Rattus norvegicus: one gene and its partners. The protein of the gene in region 1 interacts with the protein of each later gene in a biochemical or structural test. Links are inferred from orthologs where the notes say so. Each region holds a gene or a part of one and is shown in the gene's direction. Other genes may lie near its edges.

What was found.
Region 2: the proteins of Stx1a (region 1) and Slc6a1 form a complex in vitro, tested with the Homo sapiens proteins (2 studies listed by BioGRID). The link is inferred for Rattus norvegicus from reciprocal best matches to the Homo sapiens genes STX1A and SLC6A1.
Region 3: the proteins of Stx1a (region 1) and Stxbp5 form a complex in vitro, tested with the Homo sapiens proteins (2 studies listed by BioGRID). The link is inferred for Rattus norvegicus from reciprocal best matches to the Homo sapiens genes STX1A and STXBP5.
Region 4: the proteins of Stx1a (region 1) and Snap23 form a complex in vitro, tested with the Homo sapiens proteins (3 studies listed by BioGRID). The link is inferred for Rattus norvegicus from reciprocal best matches to the Homo sapiens genes STX1A and SNAP23.

The regions. Positions count from the first base shown.
Region 1 is NC_086030.1:27,279,582-27,282,710, reverse strand, and holds part of Stx1a (syntaxin-1A), read left to right. Parts: intron 1-1,860; exon of another isoform or gene 1,861-1,943; coding exon 1,944-2,054; intron 2,055-2,883; coding exon 2,884-2,961; 3' UTR 2,962-3,129. UniProt on the Homo sapiens protein: Plays an essential role in hormone and neurotransmitter calcium-dependent exocytosis and endocytosis.
Region 2 is NC_086022.1:149,020,671-149,025,742, forward strand, and holds the start of Slc6a1 (sodium- and chloride-dependent GABA transporter 1), read left to right. Parts: upstream 1-1,848; 5' UTR 1,849-1,902; intron 1,903-2,585; 5' UTR 2,586-2,672; coding exon 2,673-2,910; intron 2,911-3,230; coding exon 3,231-3,362; intron 3,363-3,478; coding exon 3,479-3,579; intron 3,580-4,515; coding exon 4,516-4,625; intron 4,626-5,072. UniProt on the Homo sapiens protein: Mediates transport of gamma-aminobutyric acid (GABA) together with sodium and chloride and is responsible for the reuptake of GABA from the synapse. The translocation of GABA, however, may also occur in the reverse direction leading to the release of GABA.
Region 3 is NC_086019.1:6,050,752-6,055,153, reverse strand, and holds part of Stxbp5 (syntaxin-binding protein 5), read left to right. Parts: intron 1-1,855; coding exon 1,856-2,076; intron 2,077-2,513; coding exon 2,514-2,692; intron 2,693-4,402. UniProt on the Homo sapiens protein: Plays a regulatory role in calcium-dependent exocytosis and neurotransmitter release. Inhibits membrane fusion between transport vesicles and the plasma membrane.
Region 4 is NC_086021.1:127,965,963-127,971,164, forward strand, and holds the start of Snap23 (synaptosomal-associated protein 23), read left to right. Parts: upstream 1-1,923; 5' UTR 1,924-2,027; intron 2,028-3,006; exon of another isoform or gene 3,007-5,202. UniProt on the Homo sapiens protein: Essential component of the high affinity receptor for the general membrane fusion machinery and an important regulator of transport vesicle docking and fusion.

The DNA.
Region 1 (3,129 bases):
GTATCTGTCTGTGTCTGTGTAGCTGTCTGTGTCTGTCTGTGTCTGTGTGTCTGTCTGTGTCTGTGTATCTGTCTGTGTGTCTGTGTATCTGTCTGTGTCTGTGTGTCTGTGTCTGTGTATATGTCTCTGTGTATCTGTCTGTGTGTCTGTGTATCTGTGTCTGTGTGTCTGTGTCTGTGTATATGTCTCTGTGTAGCTGTCTGTGTCTGTGTAGCTGTCTGTGTCTATGTAGCTGTCTGTGTCTGTCTGTGTATCTGTCTGTGTCTGTGTGTCTATGTCCATTTGTGCTCAAAGGAGAGAGTTTCTGGCTTGGTGACATCAGCTTTTATCCCCTAAGGCACCTCCCCTTCTGGTCCTTGGACTACTGTCCTCTTGGCTCTCATTCCCAAACGATGAGGCTGTATGACAGTATTCAGTCGACATTGTGCTGGAGATCAAATGTGGGCCCTCCCAAAACCGAGTCACATCTCCACCCCAGCCCTTCGCTTTTGTTTTGAGGCAGGGTCTTCCTCTGTAGCCTTGGCCTCAGACCTGTGGCAATCCTCATCGCTGAGAGCTGGAATCACAGGGGCAAACCACCATGTTTGCCTTCGTTGACGTGGATTTTACCGTTGACTTTTTAGTTTTGGTTTTGTTTTGTTCTTTTGCCTTTGTGAAATAATCTTGCTGTTTAGCCCAAGCTAGACTTTGAACTCGGGATCCTGTCTGGGTCTCCTCGGTGCTAAGATTTTAGCTGTTACCACACCTGGCTTTGTCGAGGTTTTGTTATTGTTTGTTTGTTTGTTTGTCTGTCTGATTTGGTGATGGTCTTCAGGGACATTGTGTGTTTATGATTTCTTTTACCTTTATAAAAAAGGGTTTTGCTGGGCTGGAGAGATGGCCTCAGTGGTTAAGAGCACTGACTACAGCACTGACTGCTCTTCCAGAGGTCCTGGGTTCAAATCCCAGCAACCACATGGTGGCTCACAACCATCTGTAATGGGATCCGATGCCCTCTTCTGGTGTGTCTGAAGACAGCTACAGCTATATATAATAAATAAATAAATAAATAAATAAATAAATAAATAAATAAATATTTTTTTTTGGTTCTTTTTTTTTTTCGGAGCTGGGGACCGAACCCAGGGCCTTGCGCTTCCTAGGTAAGCGCTTAAATATTTTTTAAAAAGAAAAAGAAAGGAAGAAAGAAAGAAAGAGAGAGAGAGAGAAAGAAAGGGTTTTGCTATGTAGCCCAGGCTAGTCCTGAATTCCTGATCTTCTTGCCTCAATCTCCTGAGTGTTAGGCTCACAGATCATGCCTGGCTAGACCAAAGGTTCTAGGGGTAGGTGTGTTATGAGCAGTGGGCAGGTCTGAGAAAACTGTGCCAGGTTCTCCTGAGAAACCCTGAGGAGAAGACATCAGACTTAGGCTGAGATCCAACATGGTTGTAAGTCTTGTGGGACAGTGTCACACTCAAATGAAAGACATGGGATCCGAAGAGGACTGTGGGGGCTGGGCAGAGAGTTTCAGCATCTGAAGACAGCAGACATGAGCTTTCTGGAACTGTCCCCCAACCACTGAGGCTTGCCCATGCTCTTCTGGTAAGCTTTGGCCAAGGAGAAGTACAGACTGTGACCCACCCACTCCTGCCCTGCCTTTGCCTGGCATTGTCCATTTCCTAGGGTCACAGCTGACTACCCCCTCTGCATGGTCCTCAACCTTGTCTGAGACTGCATGGCCAATTCTACACCCCAGGATGGCTGCTCTTTGGGACGGGTGGGAGCTGCTCCTGGCATGTTGTACTCAGGCCTAGTGGCACAGGTGAGAAGCTACGTGCCCTCCTCACACAACTCTTCTCTCCCTCTCTCTCTCTCTGACTTCAGAGTACTTTCCTCAACCCCTACCCTGCACCCTCTCCTGGTCCTGAGGAGGGAGGCCTGGACCTTGGGTGCCCCTGGCCCTGCAGGGGGAGATGATTGACAGGATCGAGTACAATGTGGAACACGCTGTGGACTACGTGGAGAGGGCCGTGTCTGACACCAAGAAGGCCGTCAAGTACCAGAGCAAGGCACGCAGGGTCAGTGGCCAGCTCCGCCTAAACTCATACCCCAGAGAACCCCCAAGCTGTGGGATCCTCCTCCCCTCCTACTTGTCCCATTTTCAGAACCTCCAACCATAGCCTTCACTTCTCCATCAACACTCCATTCTAGGCCATTCCTGATACTAGTCCGGCCCTCCAGAATCCAGCGCTTATTTTACAGATTTTTGGTTGTTTTGTTTTAATTTGTTCCATATTGGGGTTCCATATTGCGGATGGAACCCAGGATCTAGGAAATGCTAGACCAAAGCTCCACCACTGAGCCCCGCCCCCAGCCCCTCACTGGGGGATTCTAGGCAGGGGCTCTACCACTGAGCCCCGCCCCCAGCCCCTCACTGGGGGATTCTAGGCAGGGGCTCTACCACTGAGCCACGCCCCCAGCCCCTCACTGGGGGATTCTAGGCAGGGGCTCTACCACTGAGCCACGCCCCCAGCCCCTCACTGGGGGATTCTAAGCAGGTGCTTTACCTCTAAGCCACGCCCCCAGCCCCTCCCTGGGGGATTCTAGGCAGGGGCTCTACCACTGAGCCACGCCCCCAGCCCCTCCCTGGGGGATTCTAGGCAGGGGCTCTACCACTGAGCCACACCTCCAGCCCCTCACTGGGGAATTCTTGGCAGGGGCTCTACCACTGAGCCACGCCCCCAGCCCCTCACTGGGGGATTCTAGACAGGGGCTGTACCACTCAGCCATGCCCCCAGCCCCTCTCTGGGGATTCTAGGCAGGGACTCTACCACTCAGCCCCAGCATGAGCCCTCATTCCAGTCTCTCCCACTGCTCTTCTGAGGCCTTCCTTTTGTGTCCCTGCAGAAGAAGATCATGATCATCATTTGCTGTGTGATTCTGGGCATCATCATCGCCTCCACCATCGGGGGCATCTTTGGATAGAAACCACCCCACCCACGGCTCCATTCTGGATGGGTCTCCCTGAGGAGGCCCCTGGCTGCTGCACCTAGCTGGGTTGCCCTCCCCACTCCTGCCTTCTGGCTGGGAGTCCTTTTCCCTCCCATCCAACACCGCTCCCTCTCTGCCATGAGGCTCCCGTCCCCACCACCC
Region 2 (5,072 bases), on another chromosome or scaffold:
GGCTTTGGTACCAGGCAAGTCCAAGTCTGAATCTTGGATCTTCCCTGGGCATCAGTTCCATCACACCAACCCCTTTCATTTATGCTCAGACATAGACATGAAATCACAGCTCTTGGCTCTGCAGCTCCTTCTCGGATGCTGCAGGTGTTCGGCTGAATCCAGACATACGTTTCTGGAAAACAGAAATGACAGCAAGGCTCCCTCAGAGCCAATTCTTCTAAGTGGCTCTGCCTGGGACTCCTGAGTTGGATCTGAGGACTGTGGACTGCGTTTCCTGAGGACCCAAGGGGCCAAGGAGTCTTAGAGCCAGCCACATGGGGACACCTTTGTCCACCAGTACTTCTAACAAAGAATGCCACAGGCCAGTGAAAGATAATGGCTGGAGGATCACGGTCCTGGAAGCCGAGAGTCTACGGGAGTTAGGGGCATCAGCAGCGCCTTCTTGTCTTCCTGAGACATGGTAAGAGAGGCCTAAAAGGTGGAACTCGCTTTTGTAACAACCTGCTCCAGCGACAAGGACATTGGTAGGAGCCACGCCTCATAATCACCCTGACCTCTGAAGTGTCTTGTTCAAGGCATAGTAAACGACACTTAAAGGCATCCCAGGAGCTGAGTAGCCAGGCAGCCCACATGCCTCGGAGTCCCAAGACTTTTGTTTTCTCAACCAGAATCTCAGGGAAGGAATCTGATTGGCTAGCCTAGGTCACATGGTCAGACTGGCCTGAGGTGATTGGATCATTATGAATAAATACGGCAGCTGGAGCCTACAACTGAGGACACTGTGGTCACGAAAGAAGCTAGCATGTTTGTCTGTCTTGCCTGAGTTGGCAGTCTACATATCCTGATTCTGGAGCAGGCCCTGTCTTCCACCTCCCGTTCTCTCCGCCCTGGAGGGTACAGCCTACCTCTACCTGAGGCCACAGTTCTCCCTAATGTGGTCAGACCCGGCCAGAATGGAGATAATCATTCAAGACAAGCCTACCACTGTGCGGGAGGCTCAAACTGAGTCGGTCACCTTATGGAGGAGAAGCAGGGGTGGCCGTGAAGTATTCCCGCGAGGAGGATACATGGTGCTGGGTAATAGGTTGCATGCGAGGGGCTGAAGGCCATGCACCTCACACCGGGCATCCGGGGTAGATCCCAGGCACAACGCCCATGCCATGGCTTTTGCTTATCTCCTATGTGGGGCCCATGGAGCAGCACTTCTTTCCTATGTTCCAGTTTGTTCTGAGGGTTCCATAAGTTTAGTTGGTGTCGTTTTACTGGACAGCTTCTATAGAATATTCTAGAAAAAAAGTTGACACAGAAGAAAACAAATTCCATGACCATCTATTTCCACATTTAGGGAGCAGAACCTTAAATAGGACATCTGAGGAAGACTTCCAAATCCACCTTCCTTGCTATAAAATATAGGGCTCCTCTCTCTGCTCTGACATCGTTTGTTTGGTTGTTAAATAACATTTCTGCAAGTTTATAAGGAGGGTGGAGAACAATATCAGCTAGAATAAACTTTAATTTTGTACATTAAAGAAAAGATCAGCCCGTTCCCTGACTCCCAACATGCCCAAGCACTGTGCCACCCGGCTCCTCTTTTCCCTTTGATAAAATTATGGAACACCCTGCCCATCGCCACAGCTGTCCCGACACAGCCCATCCTGCATGTCTCTGCATCGGCAGGCCAGTGCCATGCTGCATGGACTCACGGCAGTCACTCTGGCTGGGGATGCTCTGCGGTTGCAGGCACTGCCTGGGTCCCAGCGGCTTCCCCCTGCTTGTTGCCCCCTTGCTGACAGTCCAGCCTGGTGTAGCCTGCCCATTCACCTCCCTGCCCTTCTTGTTCTCTGTTCTGCAGGCTCTGCGGAGAAAGCCTTTAGGAGAAGACTCATAGCAGAGAACTATTAGGTAAGATAAGGAGCCAGGTGACGAATCGCACCCTGTCAGACCTGAAAGCTGACTTTGCCACAACTTGACAAGCCAAAGGAGACTGGCCCCATCGGGTAGATGGGAAAACTGAAGTGCAGAGCAGTCATGGGGATGGCTCAGTTGGTAAAGTACTTGAACAAAGCATCAACATGAGACTCTGAGTTTGATTTCCAGCACCAATGAAAAAGACCAGGCACCCTGGCACTAGGAGGAGTAGAAATAAAAGGACTGCTGGCACTTGCTGGCTGCTGGTGTAGCTGAAAGAATCATGTTCTCTAGGTTCAGGAGAGACCACGTCTCAAGTGACCACAACTGGGGGCCCTAGAGGTGGAGTCCCAACAGCTTCTGTTGGCATCTCTGTGTGTTCTCAGATGTGCTTGTGCTTCCCACACTCAGCTAGGTGTGGGGGTGCACACTTGTAATCTCAGCACTGGGGAGGCAGACACAGGAGGATCCCCAGCCGGTCTAGCCTATACCTTGAGTTCCGGGCTAGCAAAAGACATGGTCTCAGAAATAATGGACAGATGCTGAGGAATGCTATCCAAGGTTGACCCCTGTCCCATATAAATGGGACACACACACAAGACAGAATCAGCAGGAGTCGTTAAGTCCTAGTACTAAGTAGGACTATAACCCACTCTGTCCTTCTACAACAATCCCAGGCCGCAAAGCTGCTGTCCACGTGGACTGGAGCTGACATCGCACGCCTGCCCGCCAGGATCCCTGCTGCCAAGTTCGTGCTCCGAGACATGGCGACTGACAACAGCAAGGTGGCTGATGGGCAGATCTCTACCGAGGTCAGCGAGGCTCCTGTGGCCAGTGACAAGCCCAAAACCCTTGTAGTCAAGGTGCAGAAGAAGGCTGGAGACCTCCCTGACCGGGACACATGGAAGGGACGCTTCGACTTCCTCATGTCCTGTGTGGGCTACGCCATCGGCCTGGGCAATGTATGGAGGTTCCCTTATCTCTGCGGAAAGAACGGTGGTGGTAGGTGGCCACCTGGTGACCTCGGGACCAGGTCTTTGCGTCTTCTGGGTCTACCTTGAGGGAAGGGAGGATCTTTGAGGGTGGGCCCTATTTGTCACCCCTTGCCCTCTCTTCAAGAGTCAGTCGCCAAGGACAGTTGTCTGTAGCAGTGATGTCAGAACTTTGGTATCTTTTGCAAGAGCTGGGACGCAATTTGAATGAAGCATGCTTTTAAGGCTAGCCCTGGATACTGCTTTCCAGGCAGGACACATGGGAATGGTATGTGGAACCTCAAAGCTGCTGGGAAGACTCAGGATCATGAGTGTGTCTCTCTTCCCTAGGGGCCTTCCTAATTCCATATTTCCTGACGCTCATCTTTGCGGGTGTTCCTCTCTTCCTTTTGGAGTGCTCCCTAGGCCAGTACACCTCCATTGGGGGCCTGGGCGTATGGAAGCTGGCTCCCATGTTCAAGGGTGAGTGGGGGACCTGGGCATGTGGAGGGGCCTTACCCAAGGTCCTTGGGAGCAAAGGAAGTCTTGAGCCCGTTTCTAAGAATGCCTCAGCAAGCCCTGTGCGTGTTCCACCTCAGGTGTGGGCCTCGCGGCAGCTGTGCTGTCCTTCTGGCTGAACATTTATTACATTGTCATCATCTCCTGGGCCATCTACTACCTGTACAACTCCTTCACCACGGTGAGTGGCTGCTGGTCAGGGCCTACCTAGGCTGTGGGAATCTACAGTGTGCTTACTGGGTCAGTCCTTGAATGAGGAGTGAGGGGTGTAGGTCGTCTCCTACAGTGTTTTCCCCAACCAGCCACGCTGAGAGCTGCAATCTAGCGCCTCAGGCATCCCACAACTGGATCCAATTGCCATTTTGTGTGAACTCAGCTGGTGCGGGTTTGAACGCTAACTCTACTGTCTATCAGCTGTGCAACTTCAGGAGCCAGCCTTAACTTCTCTGAGACCTCACCGACCCCATTTATAAATGTGATCCACAGAAGCAAAAGCAGGGTCTCAGACACATTGGGGTCTATGCCCATATGTTCACAGCATCATGTCTTATAAGAGCCATTCAAAAGCAATCCTGGGTCCCCAGGGAACACATGTGACTGAGCACACGCGTGTGTGGTGGAGTATTATTTGGCCTTAAAAAAGGAAGAAACTCTGGCCCATGTACTATGGGTGTGAAAGACGTTTGAAGATGCTAAGGCCATCACAGAAAGTGGATGCTGTGCGATTCTGCCTGCGTGTGCTTCTTAAAGTGGTCAGATTCAAGGAGACAGAAGGCATCATGGGGGAGCCTGAAGGATGAGGAGTTAGTGAGTAAAAGAGGCCAAGGTCCTAGTAAGAGCTACTGTGCAAAGCTGTGTGTACTCCGTGCTGCTCAGCAGCACACTGGGGTCACGGGGTGGACACAGTATGGCTTGGGAGCTAGTTCTTGGAGGGGCAAGAATTCACACTTGGGTGGTGTAGTCTTGTCTACCTGTCTCTGAGAGCTCTTGGGAAGAAGAGGTGGAAAGATGGTTGTGAGCAGGTGCGTGGGGTGACGAGAGTGGGCTGTGTGAGTGGAGTCCTCTCTGGACAGCCCCAGGGACTGAGCAGGCTCTGTCTGTGACTCTGCCTTTGCAGACTCTGCCGTGGAAACAGTGTGACAACCCCTGGAACACTGACCGCTGCTTCTCCAACTATAGCCTGGTCAACACCACCAACATGACCAGTGCCGTGGTGGAATTCTGGGAGTGAGTGGGGGATGGGCTGGGGCTGGGCTGGGGCTGGGCTGGGGCTGGGATGGGGATAGGGAGTGTGTGCCAGCTGGGTGGCAGCAGGTAATGTGAATTTTCCTTCAGCCATTCACTCCTGAATACCTACTGTGTGAGATCCGAAAATGCCAATAGACAATGACAGCAGCAGGCAACTCATATTGGCAGGAAGATGTGCAGGGTAGGGGAGGTGGCCTGCACCAGCCTGCAGGAGAATGTGGCTGCTTACCATGACATGCAGGGTCGGGGAGTCAGTGGTACTGAGTCAGTGGGAAGGAGTATGTGTGTAGGCACAGTGAGGGGGGCAGCTACAGAGAGTGCCCAGTGAGGGGCTGTGCTGAGAGGCAAGGGTGAACTGTGGACCTTGGGAAGTCTCAGTCATCTGTTCTCCAATCTCAGACAAGAGGGTCCTGTGTGCTACAAGGT
Region 3 (4,402 bases), on another chromosome or scaffold:
ACTCAAGCAGATTATCTTTGATGTCTGTTAGATCCATTTGATTTATGGCATCTTTGAGCTCCAGGATGCCCTGTCTACTGGCAAGATTATAGCATTGAAGTCTCCTACCCCAACGATCTCTGTATGAGGTTCAATATGTGATTTTTTTTTTGTCTGTGGAATTGTTTCTGAACATTAGGGTTTTTTTTTAATTCACAGGCAATGTCCTTTCATATCTCTTCTGATTAATTTTGGTTTAAAATCTTATTTTGTAAGATATTGATGTGACTATACCAGCTTGCTTTTTTAGGTTCATTTTCTTGGAATACATTTTCTATCCTTTTACCCTAAGGTAATGTCTATCCTTGATGGTGAGATGTATTTCTTGGATGCATCAGAAATATGGATCATATTTTCTAATCCATTCTCTTAACCTATGTCTTTTTATTGGGGAATTGAGACCATTACTATTGAGAGCTATCAGTGATTTGTCTGTAAGTTCCTGTTATTTTGCTGTAGTAGCAGCAAAGCTTCTTTCTTTGTTTTTTCCTTTGATGAACTGTTCTAGTGTTGTTTATTCCAGTATCCTCTTAGAAACTGTTAACCTTCTCTTCAGACTGAAACTTTTCTTGTAGTGTTTTTTTGCAGGGTTGTATTAATGGACAATAATTACTTGATTTTGTTTTTATCATAGAATGACTTTTCTTTCTCTATCAGTTGTGATATTTTGGTGCATGTGGTGGTTTAGTTTGGCATCTGTAGTCTCTCAGAGATTATAGTCTCAGAGCTTTCTAGTTCTCAGAGTCTCCACTGAGAAGTCATGTGTTATTCCCACATACCTGCCTTTGTGTCACTTGCTCATTTTCCTTTGGAGTTTTTAATGCCCTTTTTTGTTCTATACATTTATTGTTTTGAGTACTGTGTGTTGGGGGAATTTCTTTTCTGGCCCTGTCTATCTGGTGTTCTGTATGCTTCCCATACCTTGATAGGCATCTCTTTCTTTAGATTGAGTAAATTTTTTTTCTATGGATTTGTTAAAGATATTTTCTGTGCCTTTGATCTGGGTTTCTTCTCCTATCACTACTCTTATTATTTTTAGATTTTTTTTTCTTCTCACAGTATTTCAGATCTCCTAGATGTTCTGGTTATGGATTTTTCTTTTTTAGATTTAATATTTTCTTTTACTGAACCATCCAGTTTTTTTAATTTGTCTTCAAGACCTGAAATTATTTATTCCATTTTTATCTGTAGGTAAGATTTTAATTTGACTTCCTGAGTTTTATTTCTGCTTGCATTTCATTAGTTTTCATTAGTTTTGATAAATTCTACTTTCATGTCGTGGATTGCTTTCATTGTTTCATTGAACCATTTGTATCGTCAGCCTTCATTAAAGCACTTATTCAGTTCCTCTTTAATGGCCTTGAACATTTTCAGAATTGCTATTTTTACATCCTTGTATTATGCTGCAGTTAAATTCTTTTCCTGGGTGTCTGCTACACTAGGGTTGCTAGCTCCTAACGGAGGCATATTGTCTTGGTTGCTCATGTTGGTGATTTTACACCAGAGTCTAGGTATCTAGAGTCATGACTCTTAAAGCGCGGCTATTTGGTGTAGATATTTGATCTTGTCCTGGGTGGTTGTTCCATTCTTTGCCTGCTGTTGCCCACTCTGGGTTCTAGCCATTTGTGGAACCTATGGCTTCCTAAATCGCAGCAAAGTATGAAGATTCTAGGTCACTGATAAAGAGAGATTAATGGTTTGCAGGGAGCCAGTCACAGAGAAATGGCGATGGGCAAGAAGTATCTGAAAGCGGTGGCAGAGAAGAATTAGCAATTTTTGATTTTTCAACTAAAATTTGTAATATACTTTTTTCTAGTAACTCTACAAGTACTGTATAAATTAAAAACATCTAAAGTATTTGAAAAGTCAAGAAATAAAGATGACAGACAGAACACCGACATTGTAGATGAAGATCCATATGCCATTCAGATCATCTCCTGGTGCCCAGAGAGCAGAATGCTGTGCATAGCCGGAGTGTCGGCTCATGTCATCATTTATAGATTCAGCAAGCAGGAAGTGGTTACAGAAGTCATCCCGGTAATCACCTCAGAACTATCTTCGTATCAATTGTCTGATATTTTTAAGCTTTTAAAAACTGTTTAGTAAACAGTTTGCAGTTGCTTTTGTATAAAAATTTTGGAAGCACATTAGTATTTAAATCACCACATATTTTATGAAAAATAGCACTAATTTAATGGATTATCTGAATCTTTAAGGGTATTATATCTTTTACTTAAGGAATATCAACTTATTGGTATCCAATATATTCTATAGCCATGATGCTTATGTGGGTACATATGTGAACTCATATCTATGTACACAAGTTTTTAAAAATTTAGTCAAAACTCTTGTTTTACTTTTAAATATAGCTTTTTTTCTTTTTTTTAACTTTTAAAAATATTTTTTCTGGTACGTTATAATACAATGAGTATTAACTATTAGTAATAGGTAAACAGCCATTTTTTTTATGACAGATGCTTGAAGTCCGACTGTTATATGAAATAAATGATGTGGAAACGCCGGAGGGTGAGCAGCCACCCCCTTTGTCCACTCCCGTGGGCAGCTCCACCTCTCAGCCCATCCCCCCTCAGTCTCATCCGTCTACCAGCAGCAGCTCATCGGACGGGCTTCGAGATAATGTACCGTGTTTAAAGTAAGTTGCAAGAATGTAGGTCTGTTCTATATGTTACCTCGTAATGCGTAGCACTAGGCCTTCCCACGGTCTCAGTCAGGATCTACATTTAATGTGGCTCGTGGGCGTCTTCTCTAAAGCCTGAGGGTCCTGCTTCCTTTCATCCTCACGTTGGATTTTTCTCTTCTCGGATCATAGTGTCACTTTATTGTTACTTAAAAGACTTTATTTTTGCATCATTTTAAGACCATACTTGTTAATGCAGGGATAAATTAAATAAATGTTTTGTCTTCATTTTTCTGTTTAGTTAATATTTTTGAGTAGTTAAATTCTTAGGATATAGAGGAATAAAGCAATGTAAATAATTAGAGTCATTGAGTTGCACAAAGACTGTATGACTCGCAGTGTTACATGGAAAGTATCGGAAGTCACAGTGGGACAAGATCCTTTTCATGGGGTATTCAGAGTAGACAGGTCGACAGGACACCATTCGTTCTAACTAAAGAACTAGGCATTGTCACTTTTACTGTAGATCTTCCAGAATCTCTTCTACTACTGAGTACATGGTGATTGGCATCAGAATGGCCATATAATAAAAAAGCAACGCCCCCAAAAGGCAAACAGACTTAAAGAAAAATCACAAGTATGTTTAAAGTTCACTCTTTACAGAAGTTCATAGGTTCTTGAAAACTTGAGAGCATAGATTTTAAATGAGTGATTATCAAGTAAGGATGATGTTGCCTGTCTCAGGATATGTACCATGTCTGGAGACATTTTTAGTTTTACAACAGGGCGTGGGATCTGCTGTTGATGTTGAGTTGGTAGAGGGAAGCCTGAGATGAGGGTCACGTCTGCAGTGGGCATAGCAAAGAATTGCTTCCTTCAGAATGGGGGAGTCCAAGGGTCCCCATGACTCCTTCACCACCTCTCTATGCTCACCCTTCCCGTCCTATGCCGCCTCCTCTCCCACGCACTTCAGAATGTGTTTCAAAAACACACATCTCCTTTTAGCTACAGTTACAGCATATATTGTCTAGAGTGAAACACGGAATTTTATGCTTTTTATTCTTTTATTACTCAGTACTACTTTAACACTAAATTTGTAAATGTTACTATGATTTTTGGTTTTATGTTTTTAGTTTCTGATCATTTTAGAGGTGGCTAAAGTATAATTTATCTTTTATGTGCATTTGGTAATGTTAGTTATATGAAGTAATCTTTTAAAACATTTAGCACAATGTTATTACATAAAATGTGGGATAATTGTGTCACATCAACAAACTTAGAATACTTTAATTCAGGCTTTGAAAGTACTTGTACCTCTACATGTTTATAAATATATTCAGGAGTCTAAAACAAGAAATCAGTTTCCTACCCAAGGGTAAGGACCATCAATAAATTGTTTTTCCATGCCAAGAGAGGCTAGGGAATAGTTATGACAAGGGACACAGAGTAGCAAGACCTCTGACCTTGACTTCTCAGATAAAAATAAAAAGCAGGTGTCGGAAGCGAGTCTCTGTCCTCTGACTTTGCTTAGGTGAGTGTTTTCCTAGTTTTTGTACTGACTGAAAGAACACAGAGAATAAGTTAATAACCAGGACATCTTGTTAGTACCCCCACCAGTAAACTGAACACAGCATGGAGTCTAACTGCTACCGCAGACTATGACCTAGTCCACGCCCTCATCTTACCCTCACGCATGTGACTCGGGCCAGGGTGGAAGTCTAAAGT
Region 4 (5,202 bases), on another chromosome or scaffold:
ATCAGGTCCTTGGCTTGAGAACAAGTACTTTACCTTGAGCCTTCTGGCCAGCCTCAGTCCTATGGATTTTATTGTTAGAGGCAGGGCCTCAGGTTGCTAACCTCAACATCACTATATAGTCAGTGATGACGTATTTCTGATCTGCCTCTCTACCTCCTAATGCTGAGATTATAGGCTTCAACCACTGTTCTAGACCTCCTATCAGTGTTGTTGTTGTTTTTTTTTTCTTTTCTTTTCTTTTTTTCAGAGCTGGGGACCAAACCCAGGGCCTTGCGCTTGCTAGGCAAGCACTCTACCACTGAGCTAAATCCCCAACCCCTAGTGTTGATTTTTTAAATTATATTTTAGTATGGGTGTTTAGCCTGCATGAATGCCTGTTTACCATCCTTGTACATGTGCCTATAGAGGTTCAGGAAGGTTTGGATCACCTGGAACTTGAATTACAGATAGTTGTGAACTACCAGATGGGTGTCCTGTGGAAGAACAGCCATCTTTCCAGCCCAAAGTTTTATTTCATTTACTTACTTTTGAGACAAAGAATTACTATGTAAACCAGGCTACACAAAGATTCCCTTGCTTCCACCTCCTGAGCTGGGATTGAAGGTGCACCACCACCAACTCTCATCACTGGTTTGACTACGGCAGCTCTAACCCTATCGAGATCTTTATCTAGATCATTACCGCCCCCTCAATTTTTTAAAAATTCAACTGTTTTTCCCAGTTGAGTCTTTTCTCCCATACTAGAGTTCTTATGTCTTCATCTCAACAAAATAAAAAGAAATAAAACACATCATTCCTTTTTCTCTGACAAAGCCAGTTTCCAAAAGCATTTTATGACGTTCCCATTTCTTTCTCTTCTCCAAACTATTGGAATGTCTGTCAACTATCACCAATCCCCAGTTATTAAATTCAAAAGATATTTCTCAGACTTCTTTTATCTCTTAAGCTATTTCTTTTAAATATTTTTTTTTTATTCCTTAGATTGCCAGCATTTTGCTTTACTCTTAGAGGTGCGTGGAAGAATTCTTGGGGCAAGTGGTTTAAAACCCTCCAGTAACTCAATGGCCATAAAAACGAATTCTAGGTTTAACATTCCAAAACCTACAAGACCTTTAAAGATCTAGTTTTCTCCTTAGTTTGATCCCCAGCCCTGGTGGTGATGGTCTCAGGGATAAAAGAGCTTTTCCTATTTCAGAGTACAATGGTTTGGGAAAGAATGGATCTCACTAGGTTGTCAGTCCGGCTTTACATTCCAGAGGTCAAGTGATCCTCCAGCCTCAGCCTCTAATAGCTTGAGGACAACACGGTATGAGCTACCATGCCTTCATTTTCTTTTGTCTCAGAAAGTGAACTCTTAAGCTTCTAACGAGAGTAAATTTCAAGAAACTTCCAGAAGGCGCCGTGTTGTTGTTCCCAAAGCCTGGAAAACTCTTATCTCGTAGACTTCCGGAGGAACTCCTACTTATCCTTCGTGACTTTAAGAGCAACTTCCTGCGTCAATCTTACAGGCATTCCTCAAGGTAAAAGTTTTGCTCATTGTTGGACAAAGGCGCCTCGGAATTTCTATGACCGTATTCTGTTAATTGAAATGTGTTTACGCATCTATTTCCCTGGTTTAAAGATGCCAAAACATCCTGTAGGCTTTGGCAGTAATTGTAGTTCAAACACTAAGACGTTCAGGGCACAGCTGCCTTCAGCGAGGATGGCTGCACGAACTCCTCCCACCTTCTCTCCAACGGGAGAACCGGTAAGGTTAACGGGTGAGTTCCCAGGATCTCCGCCTGCGTGGCAGGCGATTTAAGTCCACGCCCACCCCCTGCGGTGATTGGCTCCAGCGGTAGAGGTGTGTCTGCCCCGCGGGAGCCCTGCGAGTGCGCAGGCGCACAGATCCTCGGGGCGCCTGCGCACTCTTACGCACCCTGTCGGATCTTAAGAGAGTCCAAGAGCAGCGGGGCCCGGAGAGGAGTGGCTGGAGCAGCCGGGTGAGCCTTCTGAAAAGTAGCTGAGTGAGCTGGTCAGCGGGACAGGTAGGATGATGTCCAAGGAAAAAGAGGGTGTGGTGGTGGTTCAACGTTTTGGGGGTCGGACTGGAGGGGAGAAGGGAGCTCCGGCCAGTTCTCGGTGATTGGGCCGAGAACGAAATCGCCAGGCGTTGGCGACCAGCGCGAATCCCGCACAGGAAGGGAGGCGCTATGGTGGTGCCTTGGACTTGTGTAGATAGGCTCTTCATCCCTCACCTCCAGCCTCACGGCGTTTCTCGTTAGTATTAACAGACTGTCTGGTGGCCTTAATGAACACATAGTTCTGAAATAGTTGTTAGAAGAATGACCCCGAGGCTCCTGGCGTGGCAGACTTCACTGTCTAGGAAAATTCCCTGCTTACCTTGAGTCTTCCCCATGGGGAAGCACCAAGAATATGGTCAGGCAAGAGCAATTTTTTTTTCCCCAATTCGGTTTGTGTGTGAGAAAAGTATCTTAAAGTACTGTTACACTTCTTTCCTTCGTTCTTTATCATTAGTCACTCCACTACTAGGAAAAACAAACTGGTGGTAGAGGAAGCGAAAAACATCCGAGTTGAGGAAAAAGATCTTTCCCTTTTGCTGTTTGTCATCTGGGTAGGTTTGGGCTGGGGGCAGGGATGGTGATTGAAGGAGAGTTCAGAAACTGACAGCTTTTTGACAGAGTGTTCTCAGCCTTATGAAAATAGTATAATTTCTTACTTAAAGATATTTTAAGGATTGAAATAACTTCATCTGCCCTGCTGCCTTTTAAGAGGGTTTTGAGATGTCCAAGTAAAATGCTAATAGTTCAGTCATAGCAAGATAAAAACAGATCCTTCTCACATTCTTTTTATTTTTCTTGGAAAATACTACGCTTAAATTCTGTGAGGCTCTGGGCAGTGGTGTGCACACCTTTAGTCCCAGCACTTGGGAGGCAGAGGCAGATGGATATCTGTGAGTTTGAGTCAGCCTGGTCCAGTAAGGCAATACTTGTTAAAGCACCTTTTTTTTTTTTTTTTTTTTTTTTTTTAAAGAAATGATCTCACTATATAGCTCAGGCTGGCCTGGAACTCAGTCTCTCAAGTGCTGAAATTAAAGACATGCACACTCACACCCTCCCCCCACAATGCTTCTGGAATAGGTCATATTAAAGTAAGTTAAATGGTTAAATTTAGCCTTTACCTTAAATAATTATCATTCTCAGTAGGACCTTTTGTTTTATTTTGATTTTTAGGTGGCTTCTTTTTGGGTGGGGTCCCCTTTCTACATTGTAGCAACTTATAAAACCAAGTGAAATTGGGCCAGAATTGGGAGTGAGTGACTAGAGTTCCAGGTGAGAGTCCAGTGACACCCCATCTTCTATCAGGGAACATCAACAGGCCCATCCAGAGAGTCTTTTGTGAGTAATTCCAGTTGTTCTGATTAAGATGGTAATGGTTATTTATGCTCTGAGAACAGTGTTCCATAATAACATATTTAATACTTCTGAGGCGGTTATATAGGCCAGCCCCAGTGACCTCACGAAACCCCATCTCAAAACAACAATCAAACAATAGACATATATTAGTTCTTTCAGTCTCTTAGTTCTCTCAGTCTGGTGGTGGTTTGCGATATGAGCTCTCAGCTATTGCTCAAGCTTCCTCTCTTCCTGCTGCCTTGCTCCTTGGCCATGATGGTCAAATAAATGCTTTCTTCTGTAAGTTGCTCTGCTTACAGTCTTTTGCTCCAGCAATAGTAAAAGTGTACCAAGACAGAAGCTAGTACTGTTTAGACGAGGATAATGGGGTTTAGTGCATGGCCAAATGCATGAATATTCTAGATACCATATTAGAAATGAAATGTAGCTCCAGTGTGATGATGGATGCCAATAGGCCAGACACCTAGAAGGTTGGCACAAGGGATCAGGAATGCAACACCAACTTGTTACGTAGGATTTGAATTATTTTTATTACAGATAGTTATTTGTAGGGAGGGGTGTGCCTTGGTGTGGACTTGGAGGTTGAGGACAACTTTGGTGGATTGGTTCTCTCCTATCGTGTGGTTCCCGGTTGATTGAATTCAGATTAACAGGCTTGTATTGTTGGATGGTAAGCTCTTGCTTACCTGCTGAGCCATCTTACCAGCCATATGCAGAGAGTTTGAGACCAGCCTGGACTACTTGAAGCTCACTCACTCCCCACCCCATAAAAAATGGAATATACTAGTAAAATATAGTTCTAGAGGGAATCTAAATCAAGTTATTTTGCCTGCTGACTTATGATCTATATCTGAAGTTCTGGCTTTTTTTTTCTTTAATAAATATTTTATGTATGTTCTATCTGCATGTACACCTGCATGCCAGAAGAGGGGCACAGATCATAGTATAGATGGTTGTGAGTCACCATGTGGTTGCTGGGAATTGAACTCAGGACCTCTGGAAGAGTAGGTAGTGCTCTTAACCACTGAGCTACCTCTCCAGCCCCTGATTTATTTTCTTGAATCCATTCCTTACCATTTCTCTTTGGGTTCTAGAAGTAAACAGTGCATAGGTATGTTGCACATATACTTGTACATTTGTAGCAGAGATTCTCAACCTTCCTAATGCTGTGATCCTTTCATACAGTTCCTTATGTTGTAGTGATCCCCCCACCATAGAATTATTTCATCGCTACATCATAACTAATTTTGCTACTATTATGAATCATAATGTAAATATCTGATATGCAGGATATCAGATATACAACCCCCAAGGGGTCTCAACCCAAAGATTGAGAACCACTGATCTAGAGCTTAGAATGAAGGCACTCATGGCATTGAATGTCTTCTATCGGTTAAGGATGATCGACAAGACTTCATCTTACCTAAAGTGTATGTACCCAAACTACCCAAGGCCTTGGCTGATTCCAAGTTTATGTAGGAGTTTCCTGATTTTCTGCTCAAACGTTCGATACTAGGAGTCAGGACTGCAGGTAAAGACCGTGACTTAGCATGAGTGTCAGCACTCTGGCATGGCGCAGCGCACACCTATAATCACAGCACTCAGGAAGCCGCAGCAGGGGGATTGAAATGCAAGGCAAGTCTGGATTACATAGGAAGACTATCTCAAATCATCATCATCAAAGAAATAATATTCACTTCATTGATAACTTATACTTCTGGCTGGTACCGTGCTAAGCACTTAATGTGCATTTGATTTTAGAAACAATTCTGGGAAGAACTTTTAG